Linked DNA regions of Struthio camelus. The protein of the gene in region 3 binds, or shares a complex with, the protein of the main gene of each other region. Links are inferred from orthologs where the notes say so. Each region holds a gene or a part of one and is shown on either strand. Other genes may lie near its edges.

Region 1 (7,002 bases), on a different chromosome or scaffold from region 3:
TCAGACTTTTTTTTCTTTCTAATCTAAGGAGGTACCAAATCTGATTGTTAAAATCTGGGCAAAAGCCATGATTTTGACCAGAGTAGGTTTGTCCTCTGTGACCTAATTTTCAGATGACAATTGTTTACTACGTCTTCTTTTATCATCCACTGGATTACAGCCTGGGATTACTTAGGTCGAATTCAAAGTCGGCCACAGACATTCTTTTGCCATCTGGATTGTTGTTCATCTGCATTTAACTTATGTAAGGTTCTCTTCACAAGAACTAGAAGAGCTGGACAATCTTTTTAACATATTGTGTTATATAGCCATCTTGCTCTATGGAAATATTTTTATTTCAAGTAGCTGGGAAAGAAAAACCTTCCTAACTTTGAAGCAGTTTTCATTCCATTAAAAAGAAAGAGCGAGACTGTCAAATCCCATTTCATTTTTGAAGTTAACTGTACAGTTTTAATTAGGTCCTCCGAACAAAGATTCTGCAATGCTTCACATTTAAGAGTTAGCAATAGTATACGTTCCACCGACTTCCATCATTAAATTCAGTTGACAAAGGCCAACACAACTCTTTTCTTTGTAACTTTGTAACCATTTATGTTTGAGGTGAAGATGTTAATATGGAAATTTTGTGAGCTGGGAATGACTATGAACTCAATCATTGTAATTTATGACCTTTCATCTAAGGCCAAATGTAAAGGCAACTGCAATTGTTCTATATCTCAAGGCCAGCACATAGCAGATGTATGAAATTTGGAGTGTTAGACATAAACTTTTATTACCAAATTATAAATAATTTCTACCACTTACAATGTTCACCTTTCAAGTTCATCTTGATTAAAACGCAAGGGCAGCATCTCACTGATTTCAGTGAGTTATAAAGCTGAAAAAGCTCTATCGTAGTATACTATGAGAGGATAAAGCAATACGGTATTTAAAGGATTCTACTGATAGCAAACCATGCGAAAACTTAAGATCTAAATCCTTTTCCATCTAGATGACTGAAACAAACAAGTATAGAATTCATGAGTGAGTATAGACCTCATTAGCCAATGAGGTCTTAATTTTATTTTCACTCTTGAAGCTTTGAAATCTTCAGAGATTCCATTGAATGTGGATTACTTAAACCCTTTGAAGACCACCTTCCTGAGGTCATTTTGATTTTGTCATTCAGGAAATATAACATTTTCTGGGTTGCGCATTAACAGATGTTATTACATAATCTTTCCAAATGTACAAGAAAGGAATTTTCCAGGTGCAAATCACACTACACCAAACTGCTCAGAAATATACATCTTATTGCACAAAGGTCAATTCACCACTAAGAGCAGCCTGTGAGATTGTTTCAAAACTTAAAGCAAACCACAGAAAATTAGGATTTGGGTTCCTGACTTGACCTCAAGCCATGAATGAGGGGAGTTAAGGATACAAAACTCTTACCAAACTCAATTCTCGTGACTTAAAATAGGCATGTTTATAAGCTTAATAAGGTACCAAGTAGGAAATTGCAAAGATTTTGCTGACTGGCACCAAACAACAAAAATATCCATATACACACAAGCTATAGCTACTACCTAACCTAACTAGAAAGCAGCCTGTTAGGCAGCAGGTAAAACAGCTCAGCAGAGACTAGCAAAAAGGAAATGCAAGCTGCAAAGAAAAATCTGTCAGAAGTAAAACAAAAAAGGAAGGCTCCTAAATCACAAAATATGCCTAGCCAGACTTGCAAAATTGTTATGAAAATTTACCAGCCCAGGCATGAAATCTAGTTGCCCAGTCTTTATCACAGAGATCAATAATAATGAAAAACAGGATACTTTCTCATCAAAATATTATGCACTGAAGCCTGGTGGCCAAATTAAACTTTGTAAGCCTGCTCCCTGTAGTAACTATTTTAGGTTCCTTTTCTGCTTCAAGTACTAGATATAATCAAGCACAGTTGGATGCTCCTGATTAATATGATGGTTGCCCGGCAACACGGTCACAATGTGGCCCTACTTTCCTAACTATGACTGTTCTTGAACTCTAGGACAGTAAGGTGAACTTTATTGGGTCTGCAGACCTTGCCTTTTACAGCCCTTTAGCCTAAGCTTTTGGGAAAAAAAAAAAAAGAAATGTTACCAAACGCGTTAAAAAAGAGAACATAAAACAATTCTAGAAGCAAGAGAGGAAGACATTTACTAATGCATGCTCTGAAAAGCCATAGTGTATTTTCTTTGTATCACGAGAATTAATAGTTTTACTAAGATATTAAATCAATAATGGAAGAATAAAAAATCCAGTTCAGAGGCTTTCACAGATAAATTAACTCCTGTCATGGTACTAAATCCCTAAAAAAGAAAGGACTTCCCAGACATTATGGTGATAGCTGGGGGAAAGGGGAGAAGATAGGTGAGGAGAGAAGTAGAAGACAGAAGTTTGACTTCTCGTTTTGTCATATTCTATTCAGGCAACACTGGAAAACATCACTTAGTTTCTACATTCATTAATTCACCTGTAAAATGTATTGAACAACACTTTCCTATCTAGAGTTTTTGTAAGGATCCCTACACCGAAATCTAATAAGGCCTATGTAGGACAAGATCGTTTGGGAATAAATGGAATCTCATTATAGTAGAACAGAATTATATACTGGATCATATCATTTTCCCATAAGAAATCAATGAGACATTACTTTCTGGTATAAATATGAGCAAGACATAAAAAATGCATCTACATTAACAAATCAGAATTTAGGTAATAAAGTATCAGTAGATTCTAAAGGTGAATCACTTGCAGAACATTCAGATAGATTTTGGAGGAGTTTTACGAGAAATCAATAACGCCTTTGCATTGTCATAATTCTAAAACAGATGAGACTTATGGCCTTTAATAAGACAGAATTTCTCATAATATAAAACATAAATGGAGTAATCTATTAAAATAACCTCAGATTTAAGAAGTTTCCTCCTGTAGCCTGAGTTACTTTCAACCGATCATGAAAAAGACACAGACTGGAGTTCTGATAATTGGGCCCCCCATGCCCCTGTTCAGGTTCATGCATTAGTCTGTGTTAATGAAAGAAGCAAAAATTACAATCACAGTTAAAGGGGAAGGAGAAGTGAGAACTATTACAGGTTATTTTCTGGTAGGCTTTTTTTGTATGAGAGTTGAAGGTGCGGACATCTTACGATGAAGCTTTTAGGGTCCCTTCTTAAAACAGCTCAGATCAGAAGGTAGGAAACTTTGTCTTTCAGTGTTGTGCAAGAACAACTTGAAACGTGCCCAAGATTCCACTTTTCATCATGCTTTGGAAAAATGCAAAGAGGGTCATTACCACTTCAGCTTTCCAGGTCACAGGACTGACATATATCACGAGCAGGAGTGACGACGTAGCTAGAGAAAAATGAAGTTCTGTGTATTTGGACAAACTAGACAGAGGGGAGACAACAGACAGCGGGTATCCTTGCTCATCCAGTGATGACCAACTGCCTTCTGTATCGACCTTTGCATCTGTAGTTTTGTGAAAGCAACTCTGATTATTCAAAAAACGTAATAGGAAAAACACTATAACCAATGGCCCTTTACAGTATTTTCTTGGGAGTGTTTAAAAAAAAAAAATAGTTACTATTGGGTGCTAGCAACTAACCTGGCACAGCTAGAAATAGGTTCCTCCAAAGTAAGTCTGAGGCACGTAGCAGCCTAAGAGGCCTGCACGCTCGGTCCCTGTACCGCAAAGAGAGGAGTTCAACTTTCAGCGTCGCCAAACCTGCTCACGATACGCTGGTCGTAAACAGGTCTGGTTTCCCAGCGCTTGGGACGCTCGTCTCGGACGCTGCCAGCATAGGAAAGGGCAGAGCCGGCCGCGTTTCCCAAGGGCTAACGGCTAACTAACGGTCAACGGCCAGGGCTCAACGGTCAGCGGGGGGGGAAGAGGGGCACAGGTGAAAGGGCGCCGGGCGGCGGGCCTGCCCGCCCGAGGAGGCGCCGCCTCCCCCCACGCCTCCCGGCCGCGCCTACCGTCGCCTTGCCAAACGCGCTCTCGAGCCGGGCGCGTTTTGTCCCGGCCGCCGCGCCGTAGCGGGGCGGTGTTGATCGGCCTCGAGCAGCGGGAAGGGGCGGCGGCAGCGGCGGCGCGCGGCGGGTGAGTGGAGCGGTCGTTGGGAGCCGCGGCTGTTGGAGCCCCCCCCCCCCCCCCCCGGGCGGCTCCACCGGGCACCTCGACCGGGCACCTCGGGGTCGCGGAGCTGGGCCGGGCGCTGACGGGTGTCTCCCCTCAGAGCAGCGTAGCGAGGCAGCGAGCTTATTCGGTAAATAAAGCGGCCCGGGAGGGTTTTTTTTTTTTTCCATCGGCACGGCAAAACGCGTGCGCAAACGTGCGCTCAGGGTTTTTTCCCCCCCTTTCTTTCTTCCCCGTTACGTCCACGCAGAATTTTGTTATTTCCTCTTTTCCCCGTCCTCTTCGCCGCCGTTAGAGCAGGAGCTGGGAACCCGGCTGGGTGCACCCAGCCGTGTGTTTTGGAGGGGGGAGGGTGATGGGAGGTATGGTGCCAGACAGTTGTTTTAGGTGTTCTGCCTTTGACAAGCGCGTGGCTGTAAAGCTTCACATTGCATTTAGCGTTTCTGTCATAAACCTTTCTTTAGAAATACTTCCCGTTGTGTATATGCTGTCGAAGTATATTTTGGTGCTATTCTAGTTGTTTTTAAACACACATAAAAGCAGCAAGTAAAAGCAAAAACTGTGAATCCATAGCATAGGTAAATTGGTAAGTCTAGTGAAAGCAGATCTTGCCCAGTTCTGTTCCTATTCAGGCAGTGTACCTGTACAGTATAAGCTATTTCAGAGCATGTTCGTGCTTTCTCAGAAAACTATGTTATGCAAACAAGTCTTACGCTGTAAATATCACGTGTGAAACCGTAAGATGTATGTTAGTACAAAGTGATTAAAAGTCTCAAAATCCTTGTATTGATGAAATATCAAGCAGCAAAAGGTTGACATAGTAATGATGCCAACGCATCATTAGCAGTATTTTCTACAATTAATTTAAAATGCAGAATAGCTGTTACTTAGGCAAAATGACTTAAAATAACATTAAAACAGAAGGAAGCAATACTGAGTTAGGGCCTCCTACCAAACTTGGCTTGTATGTAGTGCCATGAATTTTTAAACCACAGCATTCTTTCAGGTTTTTGCACAAGTTAATTACAGTGCTTAATTCTAAACTTAGTATAATCTAATTGAGTTTTTTGAAGTCATCCTTTCTAATGTATTCTTTGCTCATGTTGGTGTTACTGAGATCAAAATCCCTTTTCTTGTTTCAGCCCAGACTTCTGTATGTAGAGCATGTACTGGCTTCCTCTCCATCCTCCTCCCTGCCCAGATAGGAACCAGTTACTAATTATTCAGTGATTTTTAGTAAATCTATTTCAGCAAAGAGAAGTTGAGGCTTTTGGCTACATTGGAAGTTTGCAAGAGGCACAGCATGGTAAATAATTTTAAATCAAGGATTCCTGTCAAGAATTTCAGGAGTTATACAAATGTCAAATAGAAAGTTTAACGCTATAGCTCTAGGAACTGTCCTTCCTTCTATCTCGTTTGATATTTTCTCTTACTGAGAGTCTTGAGAATCAGGAGAGTGCCTGTCTGCATTGAGTGTTTAAAGTCTACTTTTGAGTGTGTTACTTATCCAAATGCTTCTTCTCCCTTCTTCTCTTCCCGACCTACCAGGGAAGATAAAGATGAGTCTACGGAAGCAAACCCCTAGTGACTTTCTAAAGCAAATCATTGGACGGCCAGTTGTTGTAAAATTAAATTCTGGAGTTGATTATCGAGGTAAGTTCTCCCTCTGTTTCCCATACATCATAAGTCTATGATTTCATTGTCTGTGGAGGCTGGAACAGATGCAGTGCTTTGTAAAAGCAAGCAGTTTGACCCAAAATCTTGGAGTACATGAATGTAGATCTCAGAATGATAAGAAAAAGATCAGTTCTGGAGAAACAAATGAAAAAGAGGTAGATCTAGAAATTAAAATGACTTATCTAAATCATTAGCGTCTTTAGTCACAGATGATTAGACTGAAGTCTGGAGATGATTCCAAGTTTCTAAACTGAAATTGGTTTGAATTACAATTCCTGAAATTCCCAGGCAGTGCTCTTTCCAGTTCTCTGCTAGCCTCCTTGGTTAAAACCACCTTTTTCCTTCACCTTCCAGTTCTCCAACTCCTTGTATAGCTTGGTCCAGAAGAGCATTGAACAGTAAACTGCTTACCAAACTGCTGAACAGTCATAAGCCTACCTTTACAGCAGAGATGAAATGGAGTTATTTAGTTCTTAGTTAAACAACTGCCTAGACTTGTGTTGCATCAATACTCATCTCAATGAGGAGAAAGCTTTTTTTGTTTGACTTCTGCTCCTATATTTCCAGTGTGTTTCAAAGCAATCCAGCAGTTTTAGTCCAATACTTTTCAGCCCATTTGTAAATCTTCCTGAGCTGTATGTAGGATTACAGTTTTCCTAAGTAGTAAATAGAACTTCGCTGTTCAGTGAAGTGTCCTACTCCTTTTAGGATAAGACTGTCAGGTTGTCAGATTGTTTTAGTAGGATTCAAGATTACATGAAAAGTTTTGGTTTATCTCCTCTTCAACACAAGCTAGGCATTTTATTAGGGAATGATTTAAATGTTATGGACCTGCTACAGATCACTGCTTCAGAGATTTAATTCAGTTGGCTTCAGTTGGCCTTCTGATCCCTTCTGGTTCCTCTTTAGTGTCCCTCTCTGGCAACGATGTTAGCAATCTGTCATTTCTTTGAGAACTACATGTTCTGAGCACTTCTGAATGGGATCTTTGCCTGAAAAACTTCACTGCTTCTTGTCGGTCTTTGGCCCTTGTAAATTTTTTCTTGCAAGAGATTGTAGTAACAGCTGATTAAAGTCAATTAAAGCAAGTCATCATTTGCTTAAAAGTACACAGCATGCAGGGCTAAACTTGGTTTAGTTTTTGCATACACTATTTTCTTTATGAACTATTT
Region 2 (7,759 bases), on a different chromosome or scaffold from region 3:
ATCCTAACTATTGTATTTAATTTTGAGATGTTGAACAGTGTTCCTATTACCAGGCATTAAAAGAAAGTTTCACAGTGAAGTTGTAAGCACGTGCCTGCTTATTGCAGTGTGGATCCAAAAGTATCTAGCTTGCAAGTACCATCTCTAATTTATATATCCTTAGTACTGATGTCTACTAAGGGCAGCAGGATTGCAATGAGAGTGGAAGATTATGGTCAGCTTTTGCCTTTGTTAAGCAGTATGTGAAGAGCGTAAGATAGTGGGATAGAGAGCCCAAATGAGAAAAAGCAACCTAATAAAAGGCCTGCAATTTTGTTACGCAACAAAGGTTGGTTTTTATCCTCCTATCTCCTCTCAAAAACATATTTGACTCAGATAAAAATAAAGTGAGTTGGTTCTTGAATTGTTTGTATGCAGCATGACTAGATGTGCTTCTTAATGACACATCTTAATGAATTCAGACCTACCTTTTTGCTACCTGAATACTTGGTGCTAAAATGATTATATAAAGGATAGTTGTTCTTGCTCTTGTATTAATTATAGACATTTCGTAATTGTTTCTGAAGTTTATACAACATTTTCAAGTTAAGAATTTTACACAGAGGCTTGTATGTGGAAAAAAAAAAAGTTTATTAGTATATTGCTTTGCAGGTTATGTAGCATATTATCAACAGGTATGTCCCAGATAGGCTCACCATTCAAGGAGCTGAATGTTTAGACAGCACTGAAAGGGAGAATTAATACAACTACACTGCCTTCAGTTACTGGTAAGTGAAAATTCAGGGTTGTTTTATGAAGACAGATCTTTTTCACTAATTGCAAACTTCTTGCTTTGACAGTTCTTTTGAGCGCTGCCGGGAGGACAACAAGAAATCTACTTATTTGGTGCAATGATGCTTTCAAGTTGAGCCTGAAAACAAATGAGACAGTAAGTTAAATTAGCCTTAATCTAAAAAATAAACCCACATTGCTGAAAAGCGATAAATTGTCTGTTATGTATTCAAAGTGAGCAGCTGAGGGATGCTGCAATACTTCAAGAGAAATAGGCTAGGGTTTTTTCCTCTGGTTATTTCATTTCTTACTACATGTTTTATAAATTAACTTTTCATTCTTGGCATGCACACTTGTTGCCTTCTGAGAAGAAAAGAGCTGGCCTTGGTTCCATACAATGAAAGACTCATTTTATAATGTAAAGCATTGAAAAGGAAATTAAATAAAAGCTGTTGAAACAGTGGTCTGAGTTCTCTGATTTCAGGCTAGACTATGTTCGCTAAATTAAATGTTTGGCTCTTTACAGTCTGGAACACAAGCTCTGACTCTGGGACAAAAGGAACTGGGAACAGCAAGTTTTTCAGTTACTGAGACAACTTGATGCCCAATTAGTAGATTGATCAGCGAGCTACCAATGCTTAGGGAGTTTTTGGTATATGAAGCTTCTGGGACTTGCAGATTGTCCTCTTCATATTGCTGCCATCAAAATAAACTCCAGTTTTGGTGTGTGTGTGTGTGTGTGTATATATATATAATATATATATATATAGCTGTTAAAATATTTCTAGTTCAAAGAAGAATAACAGCTTCAGTGGCAACACGTCTTTAATCTAACAGTTATTCCACTTCATGTCCTAAACAGTTCAAGACGGCTTGAAGATGTTAATGGTTTAGACAAGAAAAACAGTAAGAATGTTAAAGATAAGGAAAGCAGCTGAGTGCAAAGTAAACTTCTAGACAGACAGGTTTAATGTTGTTTCTGATTACGTTTTTTCTTTAATCAAAAGCTGATTTTTTTTTCCCCCAACAGCAAAGAAATCTGTCTTTGTCAAACTGAAGGTGTCTTGGCTGCTGAGTAGTAGCATGCACAAAATTACTTCTGTCCTATGCAAATCAATTTCAGTGATCCAGTCAAGAGCACCATAGGACAAATTGCTTCACCATTGTCCATGGTAGCATGTTAGCAACCAACAGGTGAACAGGACACATACTTTTACCTACAATATAGTAATCACACTTTAAATGTTTAGAAGCTTAGAAACCCAGGCAATAGTGTGTGCTTGCCCTTAGGTTTTGCTATTGTCTGTAGCTCGGTTATGTGAGATGTAGATTGGAAGTTTTGAGGAAAATATGACAACAGTGCCACCAAGTTTCCCTGGGGGATTTGATCCTATGGCTAAATAGTTTTATTAGAAAAATGTATAAGAAGTTAAATCCATACTACAAATGCGCACTTGGTTCTCTTGTAACTATTCCAGACTGTACTAAAGTTCACGCTGTCTTTAGATTTGCAACAAATACATCTATTAAAGAGCTTCTCAAACACCTTTCGGGGGTGCCTCTGATCCCTAAATACAAAGAGTAGATCAGTAACTGATAATTCAACGTTTGTTTTCCAGGCCAGGTAGCGTAGTTAAAATCTGCTATAGTAGAGTCTGCCCACTGTATATGAAATAACTGACACCTTATGATGAGGACTAGCATCCGTAAGGGAAGAAAGAGAATGCTACTTCTCCCACAGAGATGAAAATAAAATAACCAAATACATGTTTTAAGGATGTAAGCCACAGATTAGTCTTGTGCCTTTTTTTTTTAGTTGACCTCTCTACCTAGGGTTGGAAAAGTGGTAACTTACCTTGTTTATAAATCAAGGAAAGTGGAATGTTAAATTACAATACATAAGCACAGGGCTTAGGCACCCTCTCAGTGATGCCTGAGCTTTTGGTAGTACAGTGTATCTCATGTAAGCTTTGAGGCAAGGATAAAAGAAAAAAGTCTCTGTTGCATATAATACACAATTGCTCTTATTAGGCAATGTTTAATTTTAAATGGTGTCTCTTCTTATCAGGGAGTAAACTTAGCTGCTCTGGCCAACAGCAAAGAAACAAAACTTTCTTCATTTGTCTTTATTAAGTTTTCTTTTTTGTAGCTGAAAAGGGATGGCAGCTACAACAACCTTAAAATCAAGTTATGCATAAATAGATTCCAGGGGCGTCAAATTTGAAGTCTATATTTGGGGTTCATCTGTGTGCGTCTGCTAACTGACCATAAGGATTTAGCATTATCAGAACAAACTGTGATATCCCTGTGGCAAATTTGTATATAACTAGAGCCCAATGAATCTGACCTGCTGTTTGGATGATCAGTTTTACTCATGATGACTAATTACTGACGGAGCAAGGAAGTAAAGTATGCAGAAGAGCATTTTTCCTATTTCACTGAGAATTCAAAGGTGGAACATGAATACAAATGCATCCTAACCTTCAGCTGCTGATTTGTTCGTTTCAGGAACTGGACCTCTTCACTGTGTTTCTTTTCCTCTATCTGTCGCCTTTCATTTTCACGTTTTTCAATAGCTTCACATTTAGCTTTCTGTTCAGTCACTTGCTTTTCCAGCTCCCGCTTTTCTTCCTCTAGCTCTGCAATCTTGGAAAAGAGTATAGATTGCTCAAATCGTGTTTGTTAATAAGCAATTTCCAATTAAGACAGGTTCAAGTTTTATGTTGTACAGTACAATAGGTAGAACAGATAAATTTATGGAGTACAATTAAGCCCTACAGTAAGGTAAGTATCTTGATGGTCTTTACTGCCATCCAGTGGAAGTAGAAATACCTGATTTTATATAAAATTTTGTACGTGAAATCGTTACGCTTTATCACATGCAGAAAGCTACCTTACGAGGTTGACAGCCCAACTCACTCTTTTCTCCATGTCAGATTTGCCTTGCTCAGCTTGCAGTGCCTTCCGCATGCCGAAGGCAACGCTGCTCTCATACAGAGTCTGATAAGCAGCAATCGTCATTTGGATTTCATCTCGGACTCGAAGCAGCAACAGCCCTCGCTCTGCACAGTTAATCGTCGTTTCGCGGATCAGTTCATCTTTAAACAACAGGCACAAAAGCACAGTTAAGGCAGTAGGTGCGTTGGCTTGGGGAGGCCGGCCCCCCGCGCCGGCCGCCGCTGGCTGCCCGGCAGCCGCAGAGCGCCACGGCTGGCTGTCGGCGGCGCGGCCGGGGCCGGGGCAGAGGGCGAGGCGGCGGCGGCGGCCGGCGCGGCGGCACTGACCGAAGCACTGCGCGTAGAGCTGGCGGCGCACGGGGCACAGGCCGGTCTCCCGCGCCTGCCGCTGCCGCAGCCGCAGGTCCAGCTGCTCCTGCAGGCGCACCACGTCGGCGCGGGTGCTGGGGGCGCCCGACACCTCCTGCACCCAGAGCCGGCCGTCCTCCGCCCACTCCCTGCACCGGAGAGCACGGCCGTCAGCGCCGCCGCCGCCGGGCCGCGCCCGCCCGCCGCCCCTCGCCGCCCCTCACCGCGGCGGCAGGATGGCGTTCAGCACCTCCCGCGCCGGCTCGGCGGCCGCGCCGGGCCGCGGCGGCGGCGGGCGGCCCCCGGTGGGCGGGCGCGGCGGCGGGGCGGGGGCGGAGGCGCCGCCGCCGTCCGCCCGGGGCCCGGGGCGCTCCGCCCGGCGGCTGACCAGCACCGGCGGGTCGTAGCGCAGCAGCGAGTCCGGCGGCGGGATCATGGCGGCCGCTCGCCGCGCGCGCCGCTGTCGCCATGGCGACGGCGCGTCGCGGCGGGGGGGGGGAGCGGGCGGGCGCGCTGCGCGTGCGCGGGAGCCCAGCAGGCTGCGCGCACGCGCAGGAGAAGGGCGGCGCGGCGCCGGCCTCCCCCCACCCGGCCCCGGCGGAAGTACTTCCGGGTGGCGGCGCGCGAGGCGGAAGCGGCCGCACTTCCCTTCGCGCGGCGGCGGCGCCATGGAGGCGGCGGCGGCCGAGCGGCGGCGGGAGCGGCGGCGGCGGGCGGCGGTGAAGGCCGAGAAGCGGAGCCCGCGGCGCTCCGGCTCCCGCTCCCGCTCCGCGCGGGGCAGCCAGTCGCCGCCGGCCGAGGAGCGGCGGGGCCCGGCCGGGCCGCACCGGGGCGGCAGGAGCAGGAGCAGCAGGTAGGGCCGCCCCGGCGGCGGCGTCGCGCCCGGGCCTCGGCCTCCCGCTTTGCTCCCGTGCCCTCACCCCCCCCCCCCACTGTCCTTAAAGGTCGCCCAAAAGGAAGGAGAAAGCGTCGGGCAGGAGAAGCAAGTCCCCCCGGAGCAGGAGGAGCCGGAGCCCCCATCACGTCGCAGTCAAAGTCAAGCAGGTAAATCGCCTCGGTGCTGCCGCCGGGGCCTGACCCTGCCGCGGGTCTGGGGGGCCAGCGCTCCCGGGGAGGCGATGCTAGGGCCCTGTGCGCTGCACTGCCTCCCGGAAAGAGAGAGAGAGAGAGTGAGCCTCCTCTGGCAAAATTCATCCGTGGAAGGCAGGAAAAATAGTTCCTGACTTACTTTCTTTTAGTTGTTGTCATGTCTAATTTAAAAAAAAGTTTTACAGGTTCAATATCTGTTGCTATCCACTTCAAACTCTGTCCTGAGCAATTGAGTGTTCATATGGGCGTGTTGTGAATTTACCACTTGTGCGGACTGTTCCTGCAAGCTGCTTGCTTTGCCCGGAATACTGTTGATATCTGAAAGTCAAGTACAAGCCCCTTTAGCTTTCAGTTGTCTCTTCAAGCATCTTATTCTGTGGAAGGATGGCAGGTCTGTCTCTCTTTTTTAAGCTTGTGTTACTCATTGTAATCGTGGGAATCCAAATAGTTCAGCAAGAAAATAGTTTTTTACTACTTTATGTTAGATCAATACACAAGACTTTTGAGTCCTTGTTTTTCATGTGTTAGATTGTGATTTTTTTTTTCTTTAAAGTAGATTCCTTTCTCTTTTCTTCTAATTCTAAATAGACCACTATAAGAGATTATTCATTACAGGAACGAGATGATCATTGTCACAGAGGAAATGAAGAACGAAAGCAGAGAAACCCATCAGAACAAGAACACAGGCGAGATAGAAGTGGTGAGAGAGAAAGACACAGAGATCACTCGGACAGAAGGAAAAATCCTAATGAAAGGCCTGGAGGCCGAGGCCACGAGCGAGAAAGGGATGTTCAGAACATTCGTGAGCAGCAAGCAGAGAGGGAGTTCTATAATGAGAGAAGACGAGAGCACCGACAAAAGAATGAAGTGAGTGGTATTAACCAGAATCCAGAACTCGGGCAATCTGATAATAAACCTAAAGATCCTGTAAAAAAAGAAAAGCCAAGTTTTGAACTGTCTGGTGCGCTTCTGGAAGATGCCAACACTTTCCGAGGTGTTGTGATTAAGTACAGCGAGCCCCCAGAAGCTCGGATACCAAAGAAACGATGGCGCCTCTATCCTTTTAAAAATGATGAGTTCCTTCCAGTCATGTACATTCACAGACAGAGCGCTTATCTCCTGGGCAGGCATCGCAGAATAGCAGATATTCCTATTGACCATCCCTCCTGCTCAAAGCAACATGCTGTCTTTCAGTATCGGTAAGTATTATTCTCTGTGCCTGCTGGTGAAACAGAAGTATTCTGAAACTTGTATTTATAAACAAACAAACAAAAAAACCCCAAAACAGAGTTTAGAAGTGTTAGTTTGCTGTAAGTGTCTCATGTCAGAGATAGCTGGAATTCACATATGGCTGCTGTACGTTCTCTTAGCAGTAATCAAAAATACTTGAAACTTCTCCCATTTAACCACAAGCAGTCTTCCTGTAAGACAAATAACATAGCAGGACTAAATGCAGAATTGGATGTATATCTGAATTGGAATAAACGCTCTCAGGTGTAATTAGCGGTAAAAATATTTTGCAACCAAGATTGCTGCTATCCTTTTGAAGCAGCAAGGATTGTATGCTGCTGAAGACAGAGCTGCTCTCAAGGAACAGCCATCTGTTCGGTGTTACAAATTACTGTATTATATCACCATAAGTTTTAGAAGGTGATGCAGTCTTTCAGAATCTCATCCCGAGTGCCTCCTTACACTCATTATGCTTGCTTAAATTTTTGAAAATACAGAACGTTTTGAAAACTCCATCTACTTCTAGAGTGGCTGCATAAATGGGAATTTTGTGTCTGTCTTGTTATGATTGAAATAGTGCTTTTTGTTTTGCCAGGCTTGTGGAGTACACCCGTGCTGATGGTACAGTTGGCCGCAGAGTAAGGCCTTATATAATTGACCTTGGTTCTGGCAATGGTACTTTTCTAAATAACCAGCGGATTGAACCTCAACGTTACTATGAACTGAAAGAAAAGGATGTGTTGAAATTTGGGTTCAGTAGCAGGGAATATGTTCTTCTCCATGAATCTTCAGATAAATCTGAGGCAAACACAAAGGACGATGATGAGGAGGAGGACGAGAAGGAGGAAGAGTCTGACAGTTAACAGATCAGGAGGAAATTGGGGGGGTGAAAAAAAATCTTTGCAGTAGAACGTGCATTGGGATGTAAACATTGGCGCATCGAAGCACTGATGCCTCTTATTGCCTTAAAGTCCTTCTTCTGTTGCTGGTCTGTTCTTGTAGCTTATTTTGGGGACTTAATCATCTTGGATAGTTCTGCTTATCAGGAAATTCAGCTTTTTCTAAGCTAATTTCCCCTGACAAAGAAAAAAGAGCACCTGGATGTGAAAGCTGTGGTGCTGGAAATATTCAACAGATGTTGGAAGGCTATCCCCTTCTAGTAAATGATGTAAAACACAGTGGGCATATTTAAAATTATTTTTATGAACTGTTTTGTCATAATCCTTTGAAAATGCTACTTAACTGAAAAATAAGGTAGAAACTAGCTGATATATTTTGTCTTATTTGGTAGGATTTGCCGAATTTGTATGCCTGTTAAGAAATCTAGACAGGAGAATTTACCAAGTTTCATTACTAAAGAGGCA
Region 3 (7,377 bases):
GGGGACATGGGGGAGGGACTTTGGGAAAGAGGGAGGAATTTGTGGACAGCAGGGTTCCCGGGGGGGACTTTGGGGACACTGGGGAGGATATTGGGGAGGCAAAAGGGGGATTTGGGAACCTGGGGGGGTGCCAGGAGGAATTTTGGGGACACTAGGGGGGATTTGGAGACACCCGGGGCATTTGGGGGACACTGAGGTCCTCAGGGGGGACACTGGGGTGCTGGGAGGTTTTGGGGGGGACACTGGGGAGCACTTTGGGCCACCAGGAGGAGGATTTGGGAACCTGGAGGGCTCCAGGGGAATTTGGGGACACAGAGGTGATTTGGGGACACGGGGGACAACTTTGGTGTGGCAGGAGGGGGATTTGGGAACACAGAGGGGGATTTGGGGAAGCCAGGGTGGATTTCGGGGATGCTGGGGCAGGATTTGGGGGCACCAGGGTGGGATTTGGGACACTGGGGGGGACTTTGGGGTGGCAGGAGGGGGATTGGGGAACACGGAGGGCTGCAGGGGGCATTTGGGGACGTCGGGGAAGTATTTGGGGACACTGGGGGGGACTTTGGGGTGGCAGGAGGAGGATTTGGGAACACAGAGGGCTCCAGGGGGGCATTTGGGGACGTTGGGGCAGGATATGGGGACAACGGGGACAACTTTGGGGTGGCAGGAGGCGGATTGGGGGAATATGGAGAGCTCCAGGGGCACGTGAGGACACTGGGGGTGGGGGGGAATTTTGGTGACATTGGGATTCCTGGGGGACACCAGGCTCCCGTGAGGTTTTGGGGACACCGGGGAACACTGTGGGGAGGTGGCAGGGGGATTTGGGAACCGGGGGAGGCTCCAGGGGGATTTGGGGGACACCGGGGGGGATTTGGGGATGCGAGGCGCATTTGGGGGGACACTGGGGTCCTCAGGGGGGTAGTGGGGTCATGGGAGGTTTTGGGGGGACAATGGGGAGCACTGAAGAATTTGGGGACACTGGGGGGACTTTGGGGTGGCAGGAGGGGGATTTGGGAACACAGAGGGCTCCAGGGGGGCATTTGGGGATGCCAGGGAAGGATTTGGGGACAACGGGGACAACTTTGGGGTGGCAGGAGGGGATTTGGGAACACGGAGGGCTCCAGAGGGATTTAAGGAGGCTGGGGTGGGATTTAGGGACAACAGGGACGACTTTGGGGTGGCAGGAGGAGGATTTGGGAACACAGAGGCCTCTAGGGCAAGATTTGGGGGGGTCAGGGTGGGATTTGGGGACACCAAGGATAACTTTGGGGTGGCAAGAGGGGGATTTGGGAACACAGAGGACTCCAGGGGGGCATTTGGGGACATCGGGGAAGAATTTGGGGACACTGGGGGGGACTTTGGGGTGGCAGGAAGGGGATTTGGGAACACGGAGGGCTCCAGAAGGATTTAAGGAGGCCGGGGTGGGATTTGGGGACAACGGGGACAACTTTGGGGTGGCAGGAGGGGGATTCGGGAACACAGAGGGCCCCAGGGGAATTTAGGGACGCCGGGGTGGGTTTGGGGACACCGGGGGGTGGGTGACACGGACCTGTCGAAGGCCTTGACGCGCCCCAGGAGCTTCTTGTTGTTGCGGCAGTTGATGAGCACCTGGGTGTTGTTCTTGACGGACTGGGTGAGGACGGAGAGGGGCCCCGTGTTGAACTCCTCCTCCTCGCGCTTCTGCAGCTCCTCCGGCGTCATCTCGCTCTTGGGCTTGTTGAGCAGCGACCTGCGGCGTCACCCCGCCGGGTCACCCCAGGGTTGGGGACACCGGCATGGGGGGAGGGGGGGGGGAAACAGAGGACGGGGGGAACAGGACAGCAGGGAAGACGCGCCCGGGGGGACGCAGGAGTGGGCGCAAGGGCATGAGGGGGGCACTGGGAGGGGGGGGACAACGGGGAGCGGGGACATTGGGGAGAGGGGGGAGCCCAGACCTGGTCCCCTCCCTGCTCCCGGTTCCCACCGTCCCTGGTTCTCCCCTCTTACCAGTCCTCCCCGTTTCCGGTCTTCCCTGTTCCTGGCCCCCCTCCCCCGTTCCTGTTCCCTCCTGTTCCCAGTTCCCCCTCCCCCAGTTCCCCCCCACTCCCAGTTCCCCGTTCCCCCCATTCCCGGATCCCCCATGCTCTCGGTTCCCCCCGTTTCCGGTCCTCCCAGTTTCCCCTCATCCCCGGTCCTCCCATTTCTCCCCCATCCCTGGTTCCCCCCGCTGCCAGTTCCCCCCCATTCCCGGTTCCCCCCTGTTCCCATTCCCCCTGTCCCCGGTTCCCCCCCATCCCCAGTTCTCCCAGTTCCCCCTCCCCCCGGCCCCGGTTCCCCCCCCCGTTCCCATTCCCCCCGTCCCCAGTTCCCCCCCATCCCCAGTTCCCCCCTGTTCCCGTTGCCCCCGTCCCCGATTCTCCCAGTTCCCCCCCCCGTCACCCGTACCCCCAGTTCCCCCCCATCCCCGGTTCCCCCCGGCTCCCGGTTCTCCCAGTTCCCACCCGTCCTCGGTTCCCCCCCCCCCCGCTCCCGGTTCCCCCCATCCCCGGTTTCCCCGGTTCCCCCCTGTTCCCGTTCCCCCCCCCCATCCCCGGTTCTCTCAGTTCCTCCCGGCCCCGGTTCCCCCCCCCCGGCCCCGGTTCCCCCCTGTTCCTGTTCTCCCCATCCACAGTTTTCTCAGTTCCCCCCCATCCCCGGTTCCCCCCCGTTCCCGGTTCCCCCCCGTTCCCATTCCCCCTGTCCCCGGTCCCCCCCCGGCCCCGGTCCCCCCCCGTCCCCGGTTCCCCCCTGTTCTCGTTCCCCCCATTCCCAGTTCTCTGAGTTCCCCCCGCCCCCGGTTCCCCCCCCGCCCCCGGTTCTCTCAGTCCCCCCCCCCGCTCCCGGTTCCCCCCCGCTCCCGCTCCCCCCTCACATGGCGGCTCCCCTCGCGCGTCTCCCGCTCCCGCGCGCCGCCCGCACGGATCCACTTCCGGGGCGCCCAGGAGCTACTTCCGGGGTCACGGCGCACTCGCGGGGGGAAAGAGGGCGCTGCGCATGCGCGCCGGGAGCGGGGAGGGGGGAGGGAAGAGCCGCCGCTACGGCAGGGCGGAGCGGCCAAAAGAGGCGGGGCCGCGCGCGGCCACGGCGGCAGCGCTGGGGGGGGCGAGAAACTGCCCGGAGGGGGCTGGAAACGGACATGGGGAGGCTGGAAACGGACATGGGGGGCTGGAAACAGACATGGAGGGTGGAAACGGACATGGGGGGCTGGAAACAGACATGGAGGGTGGAAACGGACACGGGGGGCTGGAAACGGACTTGGGGGGGTTGGAAACGAACATGGGAGTCTGGAAATGGACAGAGGGAGCTAGAAACAGATAATGGGGGGCTGGTAACAGATGTGGGGGTTGAAACGGGCATGGGGAGTGGAAATGGACATAGGGGGGCTGGAAACTGCCATAGGGGCTGGAATGGGCATGAAGGGGCTGGAAACGTGTATGGGGGAGTGAGAACAGGCATGGGGGGTCTGGAAACGGACATGGGGTGCTGGAAATGGACATTGGGGGGGCTGGAAACAGACATGGGGAGTGGAAACAGACATGGGGGGGCTGGAAACGGACCTCATGGGGGGCCCAGGCTGACATGAGCCCCCGCCCCCCCCCAGTTGTACCAAAGCGGGAGGGGGCGTGGGGAGGCAGCGGGCGCAGAACAAGGTGCTGGGAGGCGCTGGGCGCTGGGGGTGCCCGGAGGAGAGCAGTGCAGGGTGTCCGGGGTGGGGGGCAGTGTGTGCCAGGGGTGCAGTGTGGGGTGCCACGAGGGAGGCAGTGGGTGCTGGTAGCGCAAGGGGGCAGTGCGGGGGTGCTGAGGATGCAGTGGGGGCAGTGCAGAGTGCGGGGTGGGGAGGCAGGGGGTGCAGTGCGGGGGGGCAGCGGGTGCCGTGGGAGATGTGGGGGGCAGCGGGTGCAGTGTGGGGGGCAGTGGGATGGCCGGGGGGGGCAGGGGGTGCAGTGGGGGGCAGTGAGTGCAGTGCGGGGGGGGCAGTGCGGGGGGGCAGCGGGTGCCGTGGGTGCCCCGTGGTGACAGTGCTGGGGGGGGGGGAGGGGGGCTGCCCGGAGCGGGGCGCGGGGCGCGGGGCGGGGGGAGGTCCGAGGGGCGTGGCCTCGGGGGCGTGGCCAAGGAACGGGGGTGTGCCGGCGATGGGGGCGGGGCGGGAGGGAGGGGGCGGGGCCGGCGGTAGAGCGGGGGGCGTGTCGCGCGGCGGGAGGGGGCGTGGCCGGCAGCGGCGGAGCAGGGGGCGTGGCGCGCCGCCGGAGGCGGGAGGGGGCGTGCGGGGGCGGGGCCGGGGGCGGGGCCGGGGGCGGGGCCGGGCGGGGGTCGGCGGCGCGGTGGGAGCGGGCGCGCAGAGGGCGGCGGCGGCGGCGGCGGCGGCGCCATGGCCGGGCGGCTGGCGGCCAGGTACGGGGAGGGGGGCGGAGCCTGGGCGGCCGGGGGCGGGGCCAGCGCGGCCAGGGGGGCGGGGCCGGGGCGGGGGGGGTCCGCCCCCTCCCCCACGCGTGTGCGGGGCGTGGGGGACCGGCCGTCCCGGGGTGAGGGGGGGGCACGAGGGTCCCCGAGGGAGCCGGACGGGTGCTCGTGCGACGCACGCGTGTCCCCGTGCGAGACACACGCGTCCCCGTGCAAGACACACGTGTCCTCGTGCAAGCCAGGCGGGTCCTCGTGCGAGTCACGCATGTCCTCGTGCGAGCCAGGTTGGTCCCCACGTGAGCCACGCGTGTCCTTCTGCAAGTCACGCGTGTCCTTCTGCGAGTCATACGTGTCCTCGTGTGAGTCACGCGTGTCCCCTTGTCAGCCAGATGGGTCCCCATGCGAGTCTCACATGTCCTCGTGTATGTCACACATGTCCCCGTGCGAGCCAGGCGTGCCCTGGTGCGAGCCGGACACGTCCCCGTGCGAGCCAGGCGGGTCCCCGTGTGAGTCACGCGTGTCCCTGTGTGAGTCACATGTGTCCTGGTGCGAGTCACGCGTGTCCCCGTGCGAGCCAGGTCGGTTCCCGTGCGAGTCACGCGTGTCCTGGTGCATGTCACGCGTGTCCTCGTGCGAGCCGGCCGTGTCCTCGTGCGAGCCACGTGCGCCGTCGTGCGAGCGGCGGCGGTGGCAGCCCCTCCCCGGCCGGCGGCCGCGGGGCCGGTGCCAGGCCGGGCGCCACGCCAGGGCCGAGGCGTCGCACACGCGTGTGCGCCGGGCCGGGCGCGTGCCGCCTCGCGGGCTCGTCACGCGTGGCCTCGGCGTGTCTTGCCCGGTGACACCCCCCCCCCTCCCGCCGGCCACGGGCCTCCCCCGGACGCCTGGGCCCCTCGGACGCCTGGGTCCCTGCTTGGTTCCCCACCGGCCTTAGGTGCGGACCCCCCCCCCCAAAAGGGGGCCCGGGCATCCAGGACACCCCCCCCCGACCAAGAAGGGGCCCAGGCGTCCAGGCCACACCCCCCTCCCCAAAGCTGACAGGGGCCCAGGCATCCGGGACCCCCTCCCCACCAAGAAAGGGCCCAGGCGTCCGGGCCACACCCCCCCCAAATGTTGGCAGGGACCAAGACGTCCGGGAACCCCCCCCAAAAGGGGACCCAGGCGTCCGGGTCCCCCCCCACCAAGAAGGGGTCCAGGCGTCCGGGACCCCCCCCCTTAAAAGGGGGCCCATGCGTCCGGGACCCCCCCCCACCAAGAAGGACACCCAGACGTTTGGGCCACACCCCCCCAAACGTGGCAGGGGCCCAGGCGTCCGGGCCCCCCCCACCACTAAGAGAGGACCCAGGCGTCCGGGACCCCCCCCACCATGAAGGGGCCAGGTGTCCGGGCCACACCCCCCCCGAAATGTGGCAGGGGCCCAGGCGTCCAGGACACCCCCCACCAAGAAGGGGCCCAGGCGTCCGGGCCACACCCCCCAAACCTAACAAGGACCCAGGTGTCCGGGACCCCCCCCCTTAAAAGGGGGCCCAGGTGTCCGGGAACCCCCTTCACCACCAAGAAGAGGACCCAGATGTTTGGGCCACACCCCCCCAAACGTGGCAGGGGCCCAGGCGTCCGGGATCCCCCACTAGGAGGGGACCCAGGTGTCTGGACCACACCCCCCGAAGCTGGCAGGGGCCCAGGCGTCCGGGACACCCCCCACCCCACCAAGAGGGGGCCCAGGAGTCCGGGACTCCCTCACCAAGAAGGGACCCAGGCGTCCAGGCCACACCCCCCTCAAAGCTGGCAGGGGCCCAGGCGTCCGGGACCCCCCTCCACCAAAAGGGGACCCAGGCGTCCCCCCCACCAAGAAGGGACCCAGGTGTCCGGGCCATACCCCCGCCCCCGAAGCTGGCAGGGCCCCAGGCGTCCGGGACACCCCCCACCCCCCCTAAAAGGGGGCCCAGGCGTCCGGGACCCCCTCCCCACCAAGAAGGGGCCCAGGCGTCCGGGCCACACCCCCCCAAACTTGGCAGGGGCCCAGGCGTCCGGGACCCCCACACACACCAAGAAGGGGACCCAGGCAGCCGGGCCACACCCCCCCCAAAACGTGGCAGGGACCCAGGCGGCCGGACCCCCCCCCCAACCAAGAAGGGGCCCAGGCGTCCGGGCCACACCCCTCCAAACCTGGCAGGGGCCCAGGCATCTGGGCAACCCCCCCCCCACTAAGAGGGGACCCAGGCATCCGGGACACCCCCCAAAAAGGGACCCAAGCGTCCGGGACCCCCCCCCAATAAGGGGCCCAGGTGTCCGGGACCCTCCCCCCCAAAAAGAGGGCGCAGGCATTCAGGACCCCCCCCACCAAGAAGGGGCCCAGGCGTCCGGGCCACATCCTCCCCCCCCCTTCTCCGAACCTGGCAGGGACCCAGGCGTCCGGGCCCGCCCCATAGACCCCTCCACCCCTCCCCCCACCGGGAGGGGACCCAGGCGTCCGGGCCGGGTGGGGGGGGGGGAGGGAAGCTGCTCTCCCAAGGGCAGAGAGGGGAAGGAGCCCAGGCGTCCGGGCCCCTCCCCCCGCCGCACCCCCCCCCGGTGGGGAGGGGGGGAAGGACCCAGGAGTCCGGGGACAAAACCAGTTAGAGCCCGGACTGGTCCCAGTTAGAGGCTGGGACTGGTCCCAGTTAGAGCTTAGACTGGTCCCAGGTGGAGCCCAGACTGGTCCCAGTTAGAGGCTGGGACTGGTCCCAGTTAGAGCCGGGGGCTGCGCCGCCGGGGCTGCTCCCAGCCCCCCCGCGGGGGCCGCCCCTCATTTGCATGCATTAGCATGGCCCCGCCCCCCCGCGGGGCCCCCGGCCGGGCCCGGCGCCAGGGACAGGAACAGCCCGTTCCCGCACGCACACGGGAGCGCACGGAGGCGCCGGGGCCGGGCCGGCCACCCCGCCCCCGCACACGCTAACGCACACGCTAACGGACACCCTAACGCAC

The links.
Region 1: SNRPD2 (region 3) and LSM6 share a complex: the UniProt entries of both Homo sapiens proteins name them as parts of the U4/U6-U5 tri-snRNP complex. The link is inferred for Struthio camelus from reciprocal best matches to the Homo sapiens genes SNRPD2 and LSM6.
Region 2: SNRPD2 (region 3) and SNIP1 share a complex: the UniProt entries of both Homo sapiens proteins name them as parts of the minor spliceosome. The link is inferred for Struthio camelus from reciprocal best matches to the Homo sapiens genes SNRPD2 and SNIP1.

What each region holds. Positions count from the first base shown.
Region 1 is NC_090945.1:34,991,127-34,998,128, forward strand, and holds the start of LSM6 (U6 snRNA-associated Sm-like protein LSm6), read left to right. Parts: upstream 1-3,987; 5' UTR 3,988-4,117; exon of another isoform or gene 4,118-4,283; intron 4,284-5,701; 5' UTR 5,702-5,712; coding exon 5,713-5,806; intron 5,807-7,002. UniProt on the Homo sapiens protein: Plays a role in pre-mRNA splicing as component of the U4/U6-U5 tri-snRNP complex that is involved in spliceosome assembly, and as component of the precatalytic spliceosome (spliceosome B complex).
Region 2 is NC_090964.1:10,834,230-10,841,988, reverse strand, and holds the start of SNIP1 (smad nuclear-interacting protein 1), read left to right. Parts: upstream 1-4,744; coding exon 4,745-4,929; intron 4,930-5,020; coding exon 5,021-5,120; intron 5,121-5,780; coding exon 5,781-6,364; intron 6,365-6,990; coding exon 6,991-7,258; 3' UTR 7,259-7,759. Other genes in the region: DNALI1 (axonemal dynein light intermediate polypeptide 1), read right to left, coding at 875-910, 3,253-3,417, 3,691-3,869, 4,056-4,225, 4,301-4,512. UniProt on the Homo sapiens protein: Required for pre-mRNA splicing as component of the spliceosome. As a component of the minor spliceosome, involved in the splicing of U12-type introns in pre-mRNAs. Down-regulates NF-kappa-B signaling by competing with RELA for CREBBP/EP300 binding.
Region 3 is NC_090957.1:2,000,947-2,008,323, reverse strand, and holds the start of SNRPD2 (small nuclear ribonucleoprotein Sm D2), read right to left. Parts: upstream 3,018-7,377; 5' UTR 2,890-3,017; coding exon 2,888-2,889; intron 1,727-2,887; coding exon 1,547-1,726; intron 1-1,546. UniProt on the Homo sapiens protein: Plays a role in pre-mRNA splicing as a core component of the spliceosomal U1, U2, U4 and U5 small nuclear ribonucleoproteins (snRNPs), the building blocks of the spliceosome.